Linked DNA regions of Macaca fascicularis. The protein of the gene in region 1 interacts with the protein of each later gene in a pairwise test. Links are inferred from orthologs where the notes say so. Each region holds a gene or a part of one and is shown on either strand. Other genes may lie near its edges.

Region 1 (11,038 bases):
CAAGACTCCACCTCTAAAATTTTTTCTTCATTAGTTAGGTGTAGGGGTGCATATCTGTAGTCCCAGCTACTCAGGAGGCTAAGGTGGGATGATTGCACCACTGCACTCTAGCCTGAGTGACAGAGTGAGACCCTGTCTCTCAAAACAAACAAACAAACAACAACAAAAAGACTGCATGCTGACTCTTTTGATTATTCTATGTTGACATGTTGATGGACATTTGAGGTGTCTCTATCTTTTGGCTATTGTGAATAAGATTGCTATGAACATGGGTGTTGGCCTCATTACTTTTTCTTCAATCTGCCCTGCGCACTTCCACATGAGGACTTCGCAGTGGCTGTTCCCTCTGCCTGGAATGCTGTTCTCCAAGGGATCCACATGGCTCACTTTCTTCAAGTCTTTGCTCAAATGGTGCCTTCTCAATGAGGCCTACCCTGACCGCACTATAAGTTCTGCAACCTGGCACTCCTTGTTCTCTTTACTCTGTTTTTTTCTACAGCACTCACCACTTTCTAATGTGCTATATAATATTCTTATTTAGTATATTAATTGTTTAGGATCTGTGTCTCTCCATGAGAATGTCAACTCCCTGAGGGCAAGGATCAATGTCAGTTTTGTTTATCTCAGGCACTCATGTAGGTAGGTGCTTAATACATAGTTTGTTGAATGAACCTAAAATCACAAGCCTAAGTCATTTGCTGAGTTATAGATTTTAAAGCGGCGTCACGAGACGAATGTGTTAGATGTTCTAACATGCCAAACTCTCTTAAATCCCTCAAATACTTAAAATACCATATACACACAGATGTTTCAAATCTGGGTTAAAATTGAGCTTAACTTCTCAACTGGCTGAAAGTGCATATCTCTGAAGATGTAGGTCAGGGAATGAGATCTGAAGCTGCAGACAACCAGCGTGACTTTTTCTCATGACCTGAGGACCATGCTGTGCTCTTGATTCTCCTTCTCCCTGCACATAGGGCCACCGTGCAGGTTGTGTGCAGCATAGTTGGGAGTGGGGTGGGGTGGGGGTAAGTGGATGCTGAAATCCAGTCTGTGCCCCACTTGCCAAATGCAGGGCTCGAGTGCCAGCACAGGGTTGTGTCTGTTGGAGAGAAGGGAGTGGCACCTCTTTCCCATTTGCCATAGGCCCCGATGGGCTGGGAGTGGTCCTGCTTTGTCAAAGAGGATGCCAGCCCACTACCTGCAAATTGGTTGGCTTTGCAGCTCACATCTCCCAAGTCAATTCCATGTTTCCTGATTTTCAGGTTTGTTGAGGCTGTTCCCCCACCCACTATTGGATTTAATGAATCCAGTTGCTATGTGATTCTATTCTGAGTTCTTTTTGTAGACATCCCATCTGGCAAGGCCATGACTCTCAAAGCTATTTCTATGACACCAGATTGGATCCTCATACTCTCATGCTATTGTCTGACTCAGCATGACACAACAGCCAAGGCATCTGAATCACACCACTCTTCCTTTTTCTTTATTTAACAAACATTTACATAGTCCTTCCCCTGTGCCAGGCGCTGTCCTAACACTTTCCAAATATTAAGCTATTTAACCTTCCAATCTAAGAGGTGGGTACTATAATTATCTCATTTTACAGATGAGGAAACCAAAGCTCAGAGAATTTAAGTGACCCGCCCAGGGTTCACATGGCCATAGGTGGCAGGGCTGGGATTCAAACCCAGGTCGACTTTCGCTCCATCTTGGCTTTTTTCTTGTCATTCTTTCCCTCCCTCTTCCTCTTCCTTTCTCCCCTCGTTTTCTCTTCCCTTTCTTCTTTCCTCATTCCCTACTTCCTTCCTGATAGAGCCACAGCAACCGCCACCTGCTTCCCTCGGACACTGCCCAGCCCAGCACACCCTGCCCCCCATCCTCCAGGCAAGGCTCTGCCAGGCTGTCCGTCATCACCCTCATTTCCCTGTGCCAGCAGACAGGGTGTGCCAACCTCAACCCTGTCAACTCGCTGGCTCCGACCACAGCAGCTGGCAGAGGCCTGGAAGCTGGGGCCAGGCCAGCTTGGAGGGCAGTTGGTACTTCGGGAAGTTACATGATGTGCCCAGACCTTCCCCAGTGATGTTTATGTTACCCATATCATAATTCATTTTCTTGCCCAGGGATTTTAATGTGGGCAAGATGGCTTGTGCTGCTTGGGATAAACTTAGACAAATAAGGGGCCAAAAGAAAGTGAGAAGTGAGATAGAGGGATAGAGAGACAGAAAGAAATAGAGAACCCTAAGGCAGGGGGCAAGCGTGAAGAGACCCAGGTGTCCAAGATTCTCTCACTAGAAGTGGCTGCCTACAGTTTTGGGAACAAGGAGGAGTGGCTTGATATTATCCCTCTATGTGTGAATGAACTTCTCTCTGAGTTTCTCAAAGGACTCATGTTCTTCTCCATAACTATGCCTTTGCATATGCGGTTCCCCTGGCCTGGAAGGCCCTTCCTAATCGTTTCTACCCGAGGACCAGGGACCATGCTCACGTGCTGCCCGCTTATGGGAACCCTTTCCTGAATTCCTGCGGGGGACTCTGCTGGTCTCTCCTCTGACACCATAGCATCTGTGTGCACATGCATACTTCTGTTTTGAACTAATTGGCTTACATCCCCTCTCTATGCCCAGTACAGGAGTGGTGGCTGGAGGAGGCTGAGGAGGTACAGGAAGTCTATCAGCATGTCACAGAGGAAGGAAAAGTGGGGATTGTGAAAGCCTCAAGGCAAGGTGACTCTGGGTTCAAGGCTCACCAGCTGGTGACCTTGGGCAAGTCACCTAACCTCTCTGTGCCTCAGCTTCCCTTCTATAAAATGGGAATAATATTACATTTTGTACAGTTTCTACATCATTGAGTTGTGTGAGAATGAAATGAGTTAAGATATGGAAAGCACATAGAACAGTGTCTGGCGTGTACAAATCCCTCAGTAAATATTAGTCATTATTATTATTATTATTATTATTTTTTTTTTGAGACGGAGTCTGGCTCTGTCGCCCAGGCTGGAGTGCAGTGGCCGGATCTCAGCTCACTGCAAGCCCCGCCCCCCGGGTTCATGCCATTCTCCTGCCTCAGCCTCCCGAGTAGCTGGGACTACAGGCGCCCGCCACCTCGCCCGGCTAATTTTTTTTTTTGTACTTTAGTAGAGACGGGGTTTCACCGTGTTAGCCAGGATGGTCTCGACTCGATCTCCTGACCTTGTGATCCGCCCGTCTCGGCCTCCCAAAGTGCTGGGATTACAGGCTTGAGCCACCGCGCCCGGCCCATTATTATTATCAAACTGGAAATAGTCAGAGTTGCCTAAAGGATTAAAGAAAGTACTTTTGATGAAGTGTGAAGCATATAGGAAAGTCTTTGTGATTATCATTAACAATATCAAGAGCAGTGCTCAATCCATTGTGATTTCCAGAATTAACTTACAAGGTGAGGCCACATTGCTATTGCTTTTTTGAGCAAATGAAATGATGAATATGATGTTTTTTTCTTTTCTTTTCTTTCTTTATTTTTTTCTTTTTTTTTTTTTTTTGAGGCGGAGTTTCACTTTGTCACCCAGGTTGGAGTGCAGTGGTATGATCTCAGCTCCCTGCAATCTCCGCCTCCCAGGTTCAAGCGATTCTCCTGCCTCAACCTCCTGAGTAGCTGGGATTACAGGCATGCGACACCATACCCGGCTAATGTTTTATATTTTGGTAGAGATGGGGTTTCACCATGTTGGCCAGGCTGGTCTTGAACTCCTGACCTCAAGTTATCTGCCCACCTCGGCCTCCCAAAGTGCTGGGATTACAGGCGTGAGCCACCGGGCCCAACCAAATATGATGTTTTTTTGTAAATGATAAAATGACAAGCAAAAATCGTGATGGTTTAATAAACGTTCATTGCCCGACCCAAAACGTAGTCCTGCCTGTAAGTGTGGCTCGTTCTGGGACCTCTGTGGCCTCAGACTTTCAAGAGGGTGGTTTTACTCCCAAAGTCCTCGTTTTGGGGACCTAAGGCAGAAGCTAGTGATGGACACGGGGAGTTGGGCATGTAGCTTCGCTTCTGTCAGGTTAGGAAACCTCTTCCTTGTCTGTATCAGTAAACAAACAGAAGTCATTATTCGCTTCTGCCGACATTGTAACGTTAAAAAAAATTGACCATCAGATTGAGAGAAAAGGCTAAGTCACTGGCGCCAATTTCTTCTGTACAGATGGGAGAACTCAGGCCAAGAAAGGGGAAAGGACCTGTTCAAAGCCACAAAGTAAGGGCTAGAACGTAGATCTCTAGACCCCCTAGTTCCCTGCCCTTTCACTGGTGATTGCCTTCCAAAAACTCAATGCTCTCCCAATTCGGAGCCCCATGTCCTTAAATGGAAGGTGATGAAGGCGCAGTGCTCCTGTCCAGAGACCAGGTGGGGAAGACTCTTTGGAGGCAGGGAAAGTGAGACGGGCAAAGCCAGTATGCAGGACACCCCCCCTACCGTGCAATTACCTCAATCTTCACAACCCTGTGGGGCGGAGACTATCATTATTATCCCCATTTTACTTCTGTAAAAGAGGGCCAGTAACACTGCAGGGATGTAAACGGAGGCCCAGGATCGTCCAATCGTCCCATCGTTCTCTGCAGCTCTTCCTCCTGGAGCCTGGCCATTGCTAAGGTCCAGAACGTGTGCAGGGCACAAAGCAAATAGGTCTCCGGTACTGGGATGAGGTTTTGACTCTCTATACCCCATGGTACCCAGCACAGCGCAGGCACGGGGTAGGTCCTGGCTGATCAATCGTCCTGCCTTTTGAAAATGCCATCTTTTCCACAGGTTTGGCCATGCTGTACGCCCCCAGGATACACCTTCTCATACCAAGTCTCCACTCTCATGTGGTTCTATTCTAGGACTTTCCACCGCCTCCACGTCCCCTGAATATTTTTTCTGTCTCCAGCTCTCAGAAACTTTGACTCCTTGGCTGCCTTATTCTTTGTGCATATTGGTCAAGAGCCAAAGATCTACCGGCCTCAGCTTTCCCAGCTGTACAATGGGGTGCCGAGCCAGTGGCTGGCTTTGACGCGCTGCTAGATTGGAATCCGAGACATAAGAACCGCACAAAATTACCACGTCCCACCTCCTCTCCCCGCCCCCGTCCCCGCCCTCTTTCGGAAAGCGCCTGCGCAGAAGCCGCCGGACCGCCCTCCACGATTCGAATCCGTATCCGCCCTTTTCGCTGCCTCGAAGACTCGGCGCTCGACAGGCGTTTACTAGCCTGTCTTCCAGTTTCGTCGCCGCCGCAGGCGCACCTGCCGAGTTCCGAGCGACCGATGGAGATGGCGGCCGCGGCTGTGTAAGGGACGGTGGAGGCCCTGGCCCGAGGACGGGACAGGCCTGCGTGTCCGCAGGAGCCCGGCCGGGTACAGAGGGTCAGGCCTAGTCTGAGGGACGGGGACACGACTCCTCCAGAACGGAGATGGGCGGGCCCTGTGGGTGTGGACCGTGTGTGATTGTGGTGGGTGTGACGTGAGAGATGGGAGATGCGGCTTTCAGGCCGTGCGTTTCGCTTGTGTGTGCTTGTGATGATTGGGCCCTGTGCGGTTACGCGGGGCATATACACTTGGGTTTCGTTGTGCAGCTGTGGGGGGAGTGGGTGGGTGCTTGTCTCCCGAGCGGTTGTTTGATTCTCTGGTTGTGTAAAGCTGAAGCGTTTGTGTTCTGAGTTCGTGTAGAGATGTTTGGAGTGTTTTGTGTGGTGTCTGTGCCGTGTGTGACGTTGTCATGTCTGCTCCACGGGGTTGAGTCGTTCGTGTTGTGTGTGGTCATGCGACGTGTGTATAATCGTGTGACGTGGGTTGTGGTTGTGTGCGGTCGTGAGGGCGGGTTGAGTGCGGCTGTGGGATATGTCGTCGATGCGGCATGTGGCGGGGTGACATTCGTGCTGGATGTACGGTTGCAGAACATGTAGGTTTTTGTTTTTTACTTTTTACGTGATTTAAGAGTGCAAGGGGCTTGCGTATGTGTTCAGTTACGGTTGTGGGGTCCGATTCGGTGGTTTCTTTATGGTGTATGCTTAGTTATATGATTTTGGAGTTCATTCATTTGTTCGTTCTTTCATGGAGCTTTATTGTGCTTCTTCATTGTGTGTGCCAGGTACTGTGCTAAACCTTGGGGAGACGGCGAAGGGGAAAACATACAGAGTTTGTGCCCTCCCAGATTTTTCAGTCTTACTTGGTCACTTCACGTATGTACCTGCGGTTATAAATTGAGATGAGTGCTGTGAAGGAGAAGTCCATTCTGATGCTCTGAGTAAGGGGCATTTCTTTGAGGAAGTGAGGTTTGGGTTTGGGCTGAGGCGTGAAGGGTGGTTTTGTGGCATGGATGTGGTGGGCTTTGTGTTTGATTTGTGGTCGTTTGGGGTGAGTGCATGGGAAGAAAGGGTGCTGTCACAGTCAGCATTAGATGAACCACTGGCTGGGGAGGGAAGAGGCCAGACCTAGAGCTACTATATTTCAGTGGAAAATGTATGAAGTCACTGGGTTTCTTAACTAGAGGGGAAAAATAGGGTCCTGGTGTCTCATTTGTTTATTTTCTGAGTTGCTGCCACCCTTCAGCTTTGAGGACCAGGCAGTCCCTCCTCAGTGGTCTTCTACAGTCCATCCAAAGCTGAGGGTCACACACCCCCCCTCACTATATACTGTGGCTTGTAGCCCCAGGTTCTTGGGGAGAAATTTCTCTGCTTTTGTGGAATGGTTTTGTCTCAATTTCTCTTGTGACTGAGAGTCTTGATGAGGTGACATTGGAAGTGACTTTGCCATGGGCCAGTAAGACAGAGAATGTAACTTATTAAGCCCTGAAATGTTTAGACACCAAAGCCTTTTATTTATTTATTTACTTACTTTTTTGAGACAGAGTTTCGCTCTTGTTGCCCAGGCTGGAGTGCAATGGCGTGATGTCAGCTCACTGCAACTTCTGCCTCCTGGGTTCAAGCATTTCTCCTGCCTCAGTCCCCCCACTAGCTAGGATTACAGGCGCCTACTGGCTAATTTTTGTATTTTTAGTAGAGATGGGATTTCACCATGTTGGCCAGGCTGGTCTTGAACCCCTGACCTCAGGTGATCTGCCTGCCTTGGCCTTCCAAAGTGCTGGGATTATAGGCATGAGCCACCATGCCTGGCCAGCCTTTTATTTTTGAAGCAGTGAGAACATCAGGTTTGCTACTTAACTGTCACTTACTGGCTTATAAGATCTGTCAGGGTGCAGTGGCTCACACCTGTAATCTCAGCAGTTTGGGAGGCTCAGGCAGGAGGATTGCTTGAGGCCAGGAGTTAGAGACCCGCCTGGGAAACACAGAAAGAACCTGTTTCTATAAATAATTTAAAAACTAGCTGGGTGTGATGGCACACTTCTGTAGTCCCAGCTTCTTGGGAGGCTGAGGCAGGAGGATCACTTGAATCCAAAAGTCGAGGCTGTTGTGAGCAATTATAGCTCACTAGGTGACAGAGCAAGATGCTGTCTCTTAAAAAAAAAAATCTAGTAAGCCCATTAGAGATAAGTGCTCCACAAATATAAATTTTTTCTTTTTGACTAGTAGGTTTCTAATGTTTCTCTTTAACTGACGTTAGGAATTTTGTTTTTTTTTATGTTTTTATGGGAGATACTATGTCTTCATCTTTGCATTTCTAACACAGGTGTCTTACAAGTATCAAGAACTTAATATATGTGGTTGAATAAACAATCAAAGTAAACAGCATCAAGTAAAAACTTCTGCTTGTTGATAAGTACTTCAGACATTCCCCCAGTGGCTAAAGTGGCATATGAATTACGAAGTTGGGTCATTTGGAATGAATGTAAGAGAATTGCCAAGGTATTATTTGCTTATTTCAAGAATCTGTGTTTCCCACTTAATTGAGTTGTTGTTGTCCAGTGATGTTTTCACGTCTTAGGTTTTGCAGCTTGCTTGGTCTAAGGATTTGAGAAAGAGTTTGTTTTCTCAAACTTGCACTGAACAAACATTAAGTACCCTGTTGAACTGTGAAAAGAATGAAGAAAATACTCAATTGCTACCAGTTTGCCTGAATTGGCTTTTTTCCCTTCTTCTTTTCTTTCTTAGGCTCCTCCTACTCCAGAGAGGAAACCTCATTCAGGGCCATGAGGCTACTTCCTCACCGTCTGTGTGCTACTTAAGCTAATGCTGCGGGAACTATGATTCCTTGGGAGGAATCAAGCTGACTCTTGGCATGAGATCCCTGCCTTCCTAGGGTTGAGAGCGGCACCGCCATGGCTTCTCTGGATGACCCAGGGGAAGTGAGGGAGGGCTTCCTCTGCCCTCTGTGCCTGAAGGATCTGCAGTCTTTCTATCAGCTTCACTCACATTATGAGGAAGAACACTCGGGCGAAGACCGTGATGTCAAAGGGCAAATTAAAAGTAAGAGGCAAGGACCTTGCTGGGTCATATATATACTATATAGGACCTTGCCTATACCCTGCTGTCATTGAGAGCTTTAACTCACGGGATAGTTCTCATCAGCTTCAGTGTTGCCACGGGAATATGATAACAGTAGTAGCAAACAAATGACTAGTGTTTGTCATGTGCCAGGCATTTTCAGAGTCTCCCTGTTTATTTCATTTAATCCTCACAATAACTGTGTGGCTGTGAGCCACATTTTGCACCAGACACAAAGAGATTAGATAACTTATCTAAAACCACTCAGTGAAACACAGTTTGACTTTGAATCTAGTAAATGTAATTGCTGTGATCTGGCTTGACTATTCTCTAACTACTAGCCTAATAGAATTTGGAGAGGAATTTCTTCCTTTGCTATGATGATGGAGGCACATTATGCACCCATTTTACCTGTCACAAATTTAAGCCTACCCACCATCCTTCCTTCCCCAACTGGTATCTTGCCCTCTGTAGCCCAGAAAAAGGAAGGTCGTAGTTGAAAAACAAAAGAAACAATCTGAAAACCTTGGTTTTTGAGCTTCCAAGAGCTCAGATCTGAGAGAGTTGTGGAAAGAATTTTTCAAAGGTAGTTTTGACTATACATATGTTTATTGTATTTCCTGGACATCAAATTCTAACCTCCAGATAAGATGCTTCTCCTCTGGGCGGGCACAGTGGCTTATGTTTCTATTCCCAGCACTTTGGGAGGCCAGTGTGGGTGGATCACTTGAGCTCAGGAGTTCAAGACCAGCCTGGGCAACATCGCGAAACCCACCTCACAAAAAAATTAAAAAAAAAACTAGCCGGATGTGATGGTGCACGCCTGTTGCCCCAGCTACTCAGGAGACTGAGGTAGGAGGATCGCTTGAGCCCAGGGAGGGCAAGGCTGTAGTGAGTGATGATCGTGCCACTGTTGCCTGGGCAACAGAGAGAGAGAGACCCTTTTACACACACACACACACACACACACACACACACACACACACACACACACAACAAAGATGCTGCTCCTCTGGAACTTATTTTTGTAGTTTTCAGCTAACTTGCTTCTCATAGCTGGCAGCATTTCTGAAGGCCATGAGATTAAAAAGTTCTGGATGCTGTATTCACAGTCTTTATTGGGAGGGAAAGAAAGGAATGACCATGTATTTCTAAGTGTGCTTTGGCTTTCTGACAGGTGACTCATATGTACTTTGTAATCACATAGTTGTCCCTAGAGTCCCACTCTATCTCACTTTTCTGTTCAGTAAAAAAGAGTTTCTAAAAGTATAAACAGTTGCAACTTCTATCCAAAAACAACAAAGGCAAACATTTCTGAAATCCTGAGGGCTATGGTGGATGAGGTGGCTTCTGGCTGTAGAGGCTGTAGAGCAGAGCCAAAACTATTAGGAGGGGAAAAAAATGCTGTGCTTTATAGTTTTTAGAGTTTATTTCACAGACATTATTATTTCATCTGACTCTCCTAACAACTCTGCAAGAAGGTGATTGGTCTTATTTTATAGATAGTAAGTGAAGTGAGGCTCAAGAGATGTTGAGTTACTTATCCACGGTCACACAGGAATTGCAGAGCTAGGCCTGGAATGTAGGTCTTCTGTCATCTCTATGTCCAGTGCTGCTGTTTGCATGTGACATCACAGGGTGAGAGGCCCCGTGTTTCAATCACAGCGTGCATTGCAGCTTCCTGGAGGAAATGAAGCAAAAACAAAACTGAAAAACCTGATTATGTAAGTTTCCTTTGCCAACCAAAGGAAGAGCCTCCATCATTTTCAACTAGCTTCCAGTCTTGGTGTCAGCTGAACTAAGTCATATACAATGCCATTGCTAAAACTGGTGATGCCAGTAGGTAGAGAGGTTAGAGAATGTTCCCCGATTCCTTCACTGACCCTTTTTTAAGAGGAAGAGTGTTTAAGGTTATTTAGAGAATACAGATACGGGAATCTATTTAAGGAATACTAAATAGAATGGAAATTTTGTGCCTTGTGAAAGAAACTTGAAAGGATCCTTGGCTGGGCACAGTGACTCACACCTGTAATCCCAGCGCTTTGGGAGGCCATGGCGGGAGGATCGCTTCAGCTTAGGAGTTTGAGAACAGCCTGGGCAACATAGATCTTGTCTGTACCAAAAAAAAAAAAAGAGAAAAAAAAATTTTTTTTTTTAGTTAGCTGGGTATGATGACATGCACTTGTAGTCCTAGCCACTTGGGAGGCTGAAGCAGAAGGATCCCTTGAGCCCAGAAGGTTGAAGCTGCAGTGAGCCATGATTATGCCACTGCACTCCAGCCTGGGCAGCAGAGTGAAACTTTGACTCAAAAACAAAAAACAAAATAAAGTTACTTCAGCCAGGTGCAGTGGCTCATGCCTGTAATTCTAGTACTTTGGGAGGCCAAGGCAGGAGGATTGCTTGAGCCCAGGAGACCAGACTGGGCAACATAGCGAGACCATCTCTACAAAAAAATTATTTAAAAAAATTAGCCAGTCATAGTGGCACGCACTGGTAGTCCCAATTACCCAGGAGGCTGAGGTGGGAGGATCGCTTCAGCTTGGGAGATCAAGGCTGTCACATTCTAGCCTGAGCAACAGAGTGAAACTGTCTCAAAAAAAAGAAAGAAAAGATCCTCTTGGTTTTCCCTTTATCTCCCACCCTGC
Region 2 (10,269 bases), on another chromosome or scaffold:
AGCCACGGAGGGCTGCGGCCAGCCAGCCTCGCTGCCCTTCTCCCCGGCTCCAGCCCATCCACTACCCCACTCAGCCTAAGCCTGTCTGCCCTGGGTGGGGGCCTGGTTGAAAACTGCCTGAGGGAGACAGCCCCGTGCCATGTGGGTCTAGATCTAGGGTCTCCCAGGGACACTGTGGCAGGCAGATCCCAGGCCGGTGGGAGTCACCACAGAAAGCACCATTCACTCCAGGAAAAGGAAGTGGCAGGTGTGAGGCAACACTGGAGGCCACAGAGTTTCCCAGGCGTGGTGACTCAGTGTGCCTAGGGCCTGGCGGTCACACACGGTCTCACAGACAAACAGGCAGGGCTCATGCCCGCCCCTTGTCCTGTCTGTCCTCAAAGGTGGCTGAGCAGGGGAGTTCTCTCTGCCTTGCAAGGAGAGGGCCTCAGTCAGGGCCACACCCACACCCATCAGCTCAGGACGTCCTTTGTCCTTTGAGGCTGGGGTCACTCACCTGGGTTTTTGCATGGGTTCCTCTCTCAAAGCTGACTCCACTCACAGGGAGGCTCCAGAAGGGAGATCTCTAGAAAAACATCCAGCCAGCCGGGCGCGGTGGCTCACGCCTGTAATCCCAGCACTTTGGGAGGCCAAGGCAGGCGGATCACCTAAAGTCAGGAGTTTGAGACCAGCCTGACCAACATGGTGAAACCCCATCTCTACTAAAATATAAAAATTAGCCGGGCGTGGTGGTGGGTGCCTGTAATCCCAGCTACTCAGGAGGCTGAGGCAGGAGAATGGCTTAAGCCTGGGAAGTGGAGGTTGCAGTGAGCCGAGATCGTGCCACTGCACTCCAGCCTTGGTGACAGAGTGAGACTCTGTCTCCAAAAAATCAAAAAATAACATAATAAAATTAAAAATAAGAAAACCACGCAGCCCTGTGTCCTCCAGAGCAGGCGTCTGGCCCATGCCCATGCACACAGCTCACGGAGGTTCAGGCCGGAATGAGAATTCCTCATCTGCAGGTGAGGTGGGGCCCAGGGTACTTGCGACACAAGGGGAGGACAGTGGTGGCAAAGGATGATGGGTCAGTTCTCACTGCTCAGGCCGGGTGGCACCCACATGCCCTCTGACTGTCTGGCCTCGAGACAGAGTGGGTACGAGGGCCACTGTGCTCCACGCCTGCAGAGTCTCCGTGCCTCTGAGCAGGCAGGGGCATGGGCTCCCCAGGAAGTGCCCATCCTCAGTCCTCAGCTATACTCTGGAGATCGGGGGACTGTGACCCTGGCCACAGGCACAGCTGCCACTGAAGCCTTAATGCCCACACAAGGTCTGCCCTGGTACTCCCTGCATGCCACGAGGTGGGGGCAAGCACCCTGCTCTCTGTGCTGTCTTACTGAAGAACTGGGGACGTATCACCAAAGGGCCTGGCTCGGCAGGCAGGACAGTTCCCCAGCCATGCTCTGGCCTGGCCTAGAGATGGGAGCTACAGCAAGGGCCTTTCTTTTAATTTTTTAATTTTTTTTTTAATTTTTAAATTAAATAGAGACAGGGTCTCACTAGATTGCTCAGGCTGGTCTCTAACTCCTGGCCTTAAGGGATCCTCCTGCTTTGGCCTCCCAAAGTGCTGGGATTACATGTGTGAGCCACCATGCCTGGCTGGAGCCTATTTTTTTTCTTTTTTTTTTTTTTTTTGAGACAGTCTTGCTCTGCCACCCAGGCTGAAGGGCAGTGGCACTATCTCGGCTCACTGCAACCTCTGCCTCCTGGGTTCAAGTGATTCTCCTGTCTCAGCCTCCCAAGTAGCTGAGATTACAGGCATGCGCCACCATGCCCGGCTAATTTTTGTATTTTTTTTAGTACAGATGGGGTTTCACCGTGTTGGCCAGGCTGGTCTCGAACTCCTGACCTCAGGTCATCCACCTACCCACCTTGGCCTCCCAAAGTGCTGGGATTACAGGTGTGAGCCACCATGCCTGGCTGGAGCCTATTTCTTAAACAGCCCAACCCTGTACTAAGAGCCTGAAAGAATAGCTAGGTGCCCTGCTAAGATACAAGTGTGGGCTTGGTCACTTTTCAGCTGTTCAGACAATCTGTGTCAAACACTCCTGTCCACGGGGCCAACCCCAACCACAGCCGGGACTGTCACTCTTGGTGACTCGTCTAGGCTGGCTCACAATAGGGTGTTATCCAAAGTCAGACACCCTAAGGGCATGTGTTTGTCATTCTGTGTTGGAAGGGCCCGCCGGTGGCATTAACCTTTGATTTCTGGCCCCAGCCACGCTGGCTCTCACTCAAGTACTTGGTCAGCCACTGAGATTCCAAATCTTTCGGCCATTCAGAGGCTGCTGATAGGTGCCACCGGGCCTGGGCTGCCAGGAGACGTAAGGATGGTCTGCGAGGTCTGCTGGACTGACACCGCCTCAGCGTGACCTTGGCTTCCGTGCCCAGTGCTTCCCAGTCTGTAGGCTGGCACCTCGTCTCCTCACGAGCTGCTTCCTATGGCAGCTTAAGCTTCAGCTCCTGCCAGGCCTCCCCTAGCCCTTCTACTCCACTGGGACAGCCCCTAGCGCCAGCTCCCGCAGCAGCCTGTGCTCACTCCAAGACGACACAAACAACTGATGTTTAGTTTTTGTTTGTGTGCTCTGCTTTCCCCATGAAGGCTGAGGAGTGGATGGGCTGTGTGTCACTCCCCGCCATGTCCCTGGCGTCCAGCACTGTGCTGAGTGCACTTCAGGCCCAGTAAACCCCAGAGGGGTAATCCTGTGGGAGGCTGAGGTGGGCTGATCACCTGAGGTCAGGAGTTTGAGACCAGCCTGGCCAACATGGTGAAACCCTGCCTCTACTAAAAATACAAAAATTAGCTGGGCATAGTGGTGTGTGCCTGTGATCCCAGCTACTCGGGAGGCTAAGGTAGGAGAATCATTCGAACCTGGGAGGTGCAGGTTGCTATGAGCTGAGATCATGCCACTGCACTCCAGCTTGGGCAACAGAGCCAGACTCCGCCTCAAAAACAAAAACAAAAAACCCTAGAGGGAAGCCAACAAGCCTCAGAGCTCTATCCCCCAACACCCCATTTCTGAGGCTGCCTCCTTTGCTTCAGCGGTAACTTCCTGTGTGCTGTTTCTGTGTTGTAAGCATAGTCAAACCCTTCTTGAAAGTAGATGGGGCATAAACCACACACACAACAGGTTTAGAGGGAGGCCGGGTGGAGAATCTTAGTTAAGAGCAGGCTGCACGCGGGTGCTGACCAAAGACTGGTTTCTGCAGAGGGAAACAGCGCAGCACAGGTCCGCCTGTGCAGTGAGCTGGGATGGGTCTCGGGCAATCCCGGGGCCCTGAGTGCCTATCTCAGAGCCCCACGGCCCTGCCTGGCAATAGGCTGCTCCCCTCACCCTGGGGTCTACCTTGGCCAGCCGTGCCCGCTTGATCAGGTCATTGAGCTTCCTGAGGGCGGCGTTTCGGGGCAGAGACTGGATGTCCTTGAAGAGGTCCTGCTCCTCAGCCTCAAAGAGCTTGCGGTTGTCAGGGATGAGGAGCGGGTGGGACCAGAAGGAGCCGATGTAGACCCTGACCACCTCGGGGGTGTTGATGATCTTGCCCAGGGACCACATGAGGGCCCCATACACCCGCATCAGCTGCTGTGTCTCGATCTGGTCTGCCTTGTTTAGCACCACGCGGATCTTGTCCTCATGGTTCTTCAGGGCCTTGATCACTTCTGAGAACTCATCGGAGATGTCCAGCTTGTGGGCGTCGAAGAGCAGGATGATGCGGTCCACACGCTCGGCGAACCACTCCAGGACGGCTGCAAAGTCATAGCCTGCGGGGAAGAGAAGGGAGAGCTCAGGGGTGCCAAGGGACCTGCTGCTCTGATGGCTCTCATCTCCAACCTGGCCTGGTATTTCTCAGCCAGAGATAGTTTTTAAAATTCCTACAGGCCGGGTGCAGTGGCTCACGCCTGTAATCCCAACACTTTGGGAGGCCAAGGTGGGAAGATCACAAGGTCATGAGTTTGAGACCAGCCTGGCCAACATAGCGAAACCCTGTCTCCACTAAAAATACATAAATTAGCCATGCCTGGTGGTACGAGCCTGTAGTCCTAGCCTACTTGGGAGGCTGAGGCAGGAGAATCACTTGAACCCAGGAGGAGGAAGTTGTGGTGAGCTGAGATCGCACCACTGCACTCCAGCCTGTGCAACAGAGCAAGACTCCATCTCTAAATAAAATAAAATAAAAGTCCTAGAAGGGGCCAGGCACAGTGGCTCAAGCCTGTAATCCCAGCATTTTGGGAGGCTGAGGTGGGTAGATCACCTGAGGCCAGGAGTTCGAGACCAGCCTGACCAACATGGTGAAGCCCCATCTCTACTGAGAATACAAAAATTAGCCAGGCGTGGTGGTGGGCACCTGTAATCCCAGCTACTTGGGAGGCTGAGAGAGGAGAATCGCTTGAACTCAGGAGTGCAGTGAGCCAAGACCATGCCACTGCACTCCAGCCTGGGCAAGAAGAGAGAAACTGTCACACAAAAAAAAAAAAAAAGAAAAAAAGGCCGGGCGCGGTGGCTCAAGCCTGTAATCCCAGCACTTTGGGAGGCCGAGATGGGCGGATCACGAGGTCAGGAGATCGAAACCATCCTGGCTAACACGGTGAAACCCCGTCTCTATTAAGAAATACAAAAAACTAGCCGGGCGAGGTGGCGGGCGCCTGTAGTCCCAGCTACTCGGGAGGCTGAGGCCGGAGAATGGTGTGAACCCGGGAGGCGGAGCTTGCAGTGAGCTGAGATCCGGCCACTGCACTCCAGCCTGGGCGACAAAGCCAGACTCCGTCTCAAAAAAAAAAAAAAAAAAAAAAAAAAAAGAAAAGAAAAGAAAAAAGAAAAGGCCAGGCACAGTGGCTCACACCTGTAATCCCAACACTTTGGAAGCCAAGGTGGGTGGATCACAAGGTCAGGAGTTCAAGACCAGCCTGGCCAACATAGTGAAATCCCATCTCTACTAAAAATATAAAAATTAGCCTGGCGTGGTGGTAGGCACCTGTAATCCCAGTTACTCGAGAGGCTGAGGCAGGAGAATTGCTTGAACCTGGGCGGCAGAGGCTGCAGTGAGCTGAGATCACGCCACTGCACTCCAGCCTGGGCGACAGTGCGAGGCTCCATCTCCAAAAAAAAAAAAAAAAAAAAGCTGGGCGTGGTGGCGCATGCCTGTAGTCCTAGCTACTCAGGAGGCTGAGGCAGGAGAATTGCTTGAACCTGGGAGGCAGAGGTTGCAGTGAGCCGAGATCACGCCACTGCACTCCAGCCTGTGTGACAGAGCGAGACTCTGTCTCAAAAAAAAAAAAAAAATTCCTAGAAGGTGCTCATCTAGACAGTACAGCACCCTGAGGGCAGGATTATCTCCCCTATTCCTGCCCCCACCATAACACTCCCAACCCATGTAGCACTTGGCATAAACAGGTGCTAATGCAAAAGTCGTCCCATAGTGCAAGCTCTTAAGGTGGGTCAGACGAGGGCGAGAGTGAGGAGACCCAGCACTGTGCTCAGCACAGCACAGATGGTAGAACATAGACTCCAGTGTTGCCACCTGCCAGCTGTGTGCCCTGGGAAGGCAGTGACAAGACGTGCCTGCAACAGTAACTGCAGCTGCTCCTTGTTCAGTGCTGATGTGCCAGGCTCCCCATTTTGCAGGAATCTCACTTATTTTCTGCAACAAGGGTTGGCAAACTACAGCTCAGGAATCAAACCTGGCCCACCACCTGTTTGTATAAATAAAGTTTTATTGAAACACAGCCATGCTCATTTGTATTATCCATGGCTTCTTTTGTCTAACACAGCAGAGTTCAGTCGTTATGATAGAAACTGCAAAGCTGTGAAAGGTCTGCAAAGCTGGAAGTATTAACTATCCGATCCTTACAGAAAAAGTTTGCTGACCTCTGCTCTACAAGAAGCCCAGGAAATGCCACAAACCACTTCCCTTCCTAGGTCTTAAATACTTCTCCAAAACAAAGTGGTTGGACTGGATAGACTCCAGCTTTAGGCTCTATATTCTTTTTTTAAAAAAATTATATTCTTTTTTTTAGAGACAGGGTCTTGCTCTGTCACCCAGGCTGGAGTGCAGTGGCACAATCCTGGCTCACTGAACCTTGAACTCCTGAGCTCAAGCCATCCTCCCACCTTAGACTCCTGAGTAGCTGAGACTACAGGCATGTGCCACCATGTCTGGCTAATTTTTAAATTTTTATTTTTGTAGGTATGTTCAGCATTATGTCTATGCTGAACTCCTGGGCTCTAAGAGATCCTCCTGACTTGGCCTCCCAAAGTGTTGGGATGACAGGCCTGAGCCACCATGTCTGGATTCTAAACTCTATTCTAGATTGCTTCCCACCAACCCATTATGGCCCAATTAAGGCCCGCCAATTAAAGCAAACTCTGTCGCCTGTGGCAGAGACTGCTAACTGAAATTCCTCCTAAAGGAAGGAACCAGAAATAACTATCTAGTTTCAGCTGGATTCATGGCCTCCCAGCTTGAGATTGCACTTCCCAGCTTCCTTCAGCAGAAATGAACAAGGAAAGGAGCATGAGCCCTTTGTTGTTTTCTCCCTCCTGAGGACTGGGACGCTGATGTGATGGGAGGAGCTGGAGGAAGCACCTTGGGTTCAGAGATGAAAGCTGCATGTTCAGAATGGCCTTGGACTGTTGTTTTTCACATAAACTATCGGCTATCTGACTTAAACCAATGATTTTTGGGTCTCTGTAACAGCGGTTTAATTTAAATCCTACATGACAACTAGGCCTCTTCAAAATATTTCCACTTTAGCCTGGGCAACACAGCAAAATCCCGACTCTGCAAAGGTGGTACCGGCCTGTAGTCCCAGCTACTTGGGAGGCGAAGACAGGAGGATAACCTGAGCCCAGGAGGTTGAGGCTGCAGTGAGCTGTGATCATGCCACTACATTCCAGCCTGGGTGACAGAGTGACACCCTGTCTCAAAAACAAAACAAAACAAAACAAAACAAATCCTCACCTCTTCCTCTGCCCCTAGAGTAAAACCTCTGTCCTTCTCGGTCTAGGAAGAGTAAGGAGTGACAGGCGGGCCATGTGGAAACAAAGGCCCGGAGTCCTTGGGGAGCTTGGGACCCACCCCCGAGGGGCCACGTCCTCTCTGCCTGATTCTGGGCAAGCCTCCACCTCCCTGGCTCAGTCTGCCCACAGGTCCCAGGCCACCCAAATGTAGGCCGGCCCTCTTCAGAAGCACGAAGTACTTCCCAGAGAGCAGTCAGGCTCTGGAAATAAGTGGGAGAAGCCACTCCTGCACACAACAGTCTGACAGTCGCCCAGCTTGGACCCAAACCCGTCCTCACCCCACTGCCCACTCCTGGCATCCCCGTGAAAAACACTCACCACCCTCTCACCCAGCTGGGGATGGACACGGGCGCTCTCTAGACTGAGCGGGATAGAAAAACAGCAGCGAGGTGGGAGCTCCGAGGGAAAAGCAGCAGCTGGACAGGGTCGCCCACGGCGATGGGAGGGCAGCCCTGCCGTACCCCAGCGGGAGCTGCTGCTGACTCCACCACCGCACGGGCTCCCCCTTGGTGGCATCCGCTGCTCCCACCCTGCAAAGCCCTCCAGGGCGAAAGCAGGTCCACAGCCCAGGCTCCCGAGAGGCTGCCTCCATGCACAAGCACGCCAAGATAAACGGCACCACCGGGTGTGCAGAGCCAAGCTCGTTCATGGGATAAACACTCCCGCCGCCCGCCCCGGCCCCAGGCCCAAGCGTGCTTGGCGCCATCTGTGAGCCCAAAGCCACAGGGGTGCGGAGCCCCTCCCCACACCTGGTGCTCCCAGAAGGAACTCAGGCCACTAAGATGGCTCTGCACTTCACTCCCGCCCCCTGCCACTGACTCTGTGACCTGAAGTTCTTTTCTTAAACTTCTCAGTTACTTTGTCCATCTGTGAAATTTAAATACCAATTCCTCGGCCAGCGCTCGGCGCTGCAGGGAGGAGGGCGTGTGGGAGCACTGGGCCTCCAGCCCAGGACCCGGCAGGGACAGCCTTCTCCGCAGGCCGGGGCTGGGGAAGCCAGGGCTCTGTGGGAACAAGGGGACAGCGGCCTGGGACCCATCATCGGTCAAGGACTTTCATCCTTGAGCAAAGTCACCAAAACGTAAGGAAAATCCCAAATCCACAGCTTCAGCCACACAGCCTCGGCAGCCTCTCCACAGGTGATGTGTGACCATTCCCTGCCCCAGCCCAACAGGAAATAGGGCTCTCGGACCAGAAGCAGCCCTGAGGGCCAAGCTTCTCAACAGGGCAGGAGTGCAGGGAAGCCGGGGTCCTGGCCTCCAGCCTGGGCAGGGAGGCCCGGTCAGCCTTCCAGAGGCTTAGGCGAATGGTCGGAGACAGCAGAACTGCCAGGTTCCCTGTGCCCAGAAGGTGTGGAAGGGCATCGCGCCAGAGCACCTCATGCCACCACAGGCTCCTGCTTCCAAAGTACGAGGCCCCGGGCACCCGGACTCCCTGCAGCTGGCTGCGCGCTCCACAGGAGGGGATGCCCAAAGGGTGAAGTCTCAGCAGAAAACCAGAAAGAGAGGCCAAGGGCAACATGAGGGAAGCAGGGGCAGGGAGAGGCCGCCTCTGCCCCTGGAGCCACCAGGCCACACTAGCTGAGCCTGCAGGGCCTGCCTGGGGCCCGCAGCCCACAGCCTTTTATGGCCAGCTCTGGGAACGCAGGTCAGTACTGAAAAGGCGATGACTCAAGGACTGAGCCTCCTCGCTCAGCAAAAAGGGGGCCCAACTTCTCCCCTCGACAAATCATTTGTCTTCAGCCCGCCACAAGCTGAAACTAGAATTCACACAGCTGGGGAGGCTGTGATGCCAAAACTGAGTTCTTGGGAATAAGGGCGCCCTGATGGGCTGTGCTCAGCCCATGTTAGCTTTGGCCTGGGAGTCAGGACGGCGCCTGGGGAGCTGAGGTCACCCTCCCAAACTCCACCCAGCAAGGCCCCACTCCCGCCTCCCCCTGGATGGCTGGGGGACCCTGGGGAAAGAGAGAAAAAAGAGGAGAAGGAAGAGTGAGCACTCCAAAACTCCCTGCCCCAGGTCAAGGAGCCCGGCCCCACCTGCCCCGAAACCCAGTTACTGGCCATCATCTCAAGTTGGACTCAACAGAGGTAAGTCCATTTTTTTGCAGGTGAATAACATTTCCTGTTTATTACAGAAAATGTGCTTTTGCTGTGAGGGAAACACAGTGACCGGCCAGCCACACCCACAGGTGACAAAAAGGACCACAGCACTTGGGCCTGTGCCACGCAGGCATGTGACCAGGTAACTGCAAGCCCCACAAGGCCCTCCGGTGCTCCTTAGCCCACCAGGCCCTCACTGCCCTCAAAGCACCTCACTCAGTCTTAAAGACGCCGGGTTTCAAGAGGTGCCAAAGGCTACCCCGCACAGCAGGAGCACCGAGCCACTCTCTGGATCAGAGCTGGACGGCTGGTGACAAGTACAGAACAGGGCTTGCCAGCACCCCTGGCACTGCCCAAGGCAATAAGCCTTCAGGCTTTGGAACCCACCAAGGGAGGGGCCTTGCTGTTAGCTTGACTAGCTCAGGCCCCGGTGGGAGTGACAGAACTGACACCTAGCAAAAGGACACAGAAAACATGGCCCAAGCTGGTGGGCTGGAGAGAAAGGCCTGCCTGCAGAGGGAATGGTTTTAGTGAGTAAAAGCCAGAGCCCCCTCTGATAAGGGATCATGAGCCACCAGGAAGCTCTGGCTCAGAAAATCCTGGGACCTGGAAGACAGGATGCTAAGTGATGAAATAAGCCTGTCACCTTTTCCAAAGATGACACACACGTAGCCAACAAGCATATGAAAAAATACTCATCACTAATCATTAGAGAAATGCAAATCAAACCACAGTGAGACACCATCTCATAACAGTCAGAATGGCTATTATTAAAACGTCTAGGCCGGGTGCGGTGGCTCAAGCCTGTAATCCCAGCACTTTGGGAGGCCGAGACGGGCGGATCACGAGGTCAGGAGATCGAGACCATCCTGGCTAACACGGTGAAACCCCGTCTCTACTAAAAAAATACAAGAAAATTAGCCGGGCGAGGTGGCGGGCGCCTGTAGTCCCAGCTACTCGGGAGGCTGAGGCAGGAGAATGGCGTGAACCCGGGAGGCGGAGCTGGCAGTGAGCCGAGATCGCGCCACTGCACTCCAGCCTGGGGCACAGAGCAAGACTCCGTCTCAAAAAAAAAAATAATAAAAAAAAAAAAAATAAAACGTCTAAAAGCAACA

The links.
Region 2: the proteins of RBSN (region 1) and EHD1 interact in binary tests that used the Homo sapiens proteins (3 or more experiments, as listed by UniProt). The link is inferred for Macaca fascicularis from reciprocal best matches to the Homo sapiens genes RBSN and EHD1.

What each region holds. Positions count from the first base shown.
Region 1 is NC_088376.1:153,360,751-153,371,788, reverse strand, and holds the start of RBSN (rabenosyn-5), read left to right. Parts: upstream 1-5,261; 5' UTR 5,262-5,300; exon of another isoform or gene 5,301-5,462; intron 5,463-6,100; exon of another isoform or gene 6,101-6,256; intron 6,257-7,638; exon of another isoform or gene 7,639-7,814; intron 7,815-8,060; 5' UTR 8,061-8,227; coding exon 8,228-8,375; intron 8,376-11,038. UniProt on the Homo sapiens protein: Rab4/Rab5 effector protein acting in early endocytic membrane fusion and membrane trafficking of recycling endosomes. Required for endosome fusion either homotypically or with clathrin coated vesicles.
Region 2 is NC_088388.1:9,520,511-9,530,779, reverse strand, and holds part of EHD1 (EH domain-containing protein 1), read right to left. Parts: intron 3,800-10,269; coding exon 3,387-3,799; intron 1-3,386. UniProt on the Homo sapiens protein: ATP- and membrane-binding protein that controls membrane reorganization/tubulation upon ATP hydrolysis. In vitro causes vesiculation of endocytic membranes. Acts in early endocytic membrane fusion and membrane trafficking of recycling endosomes.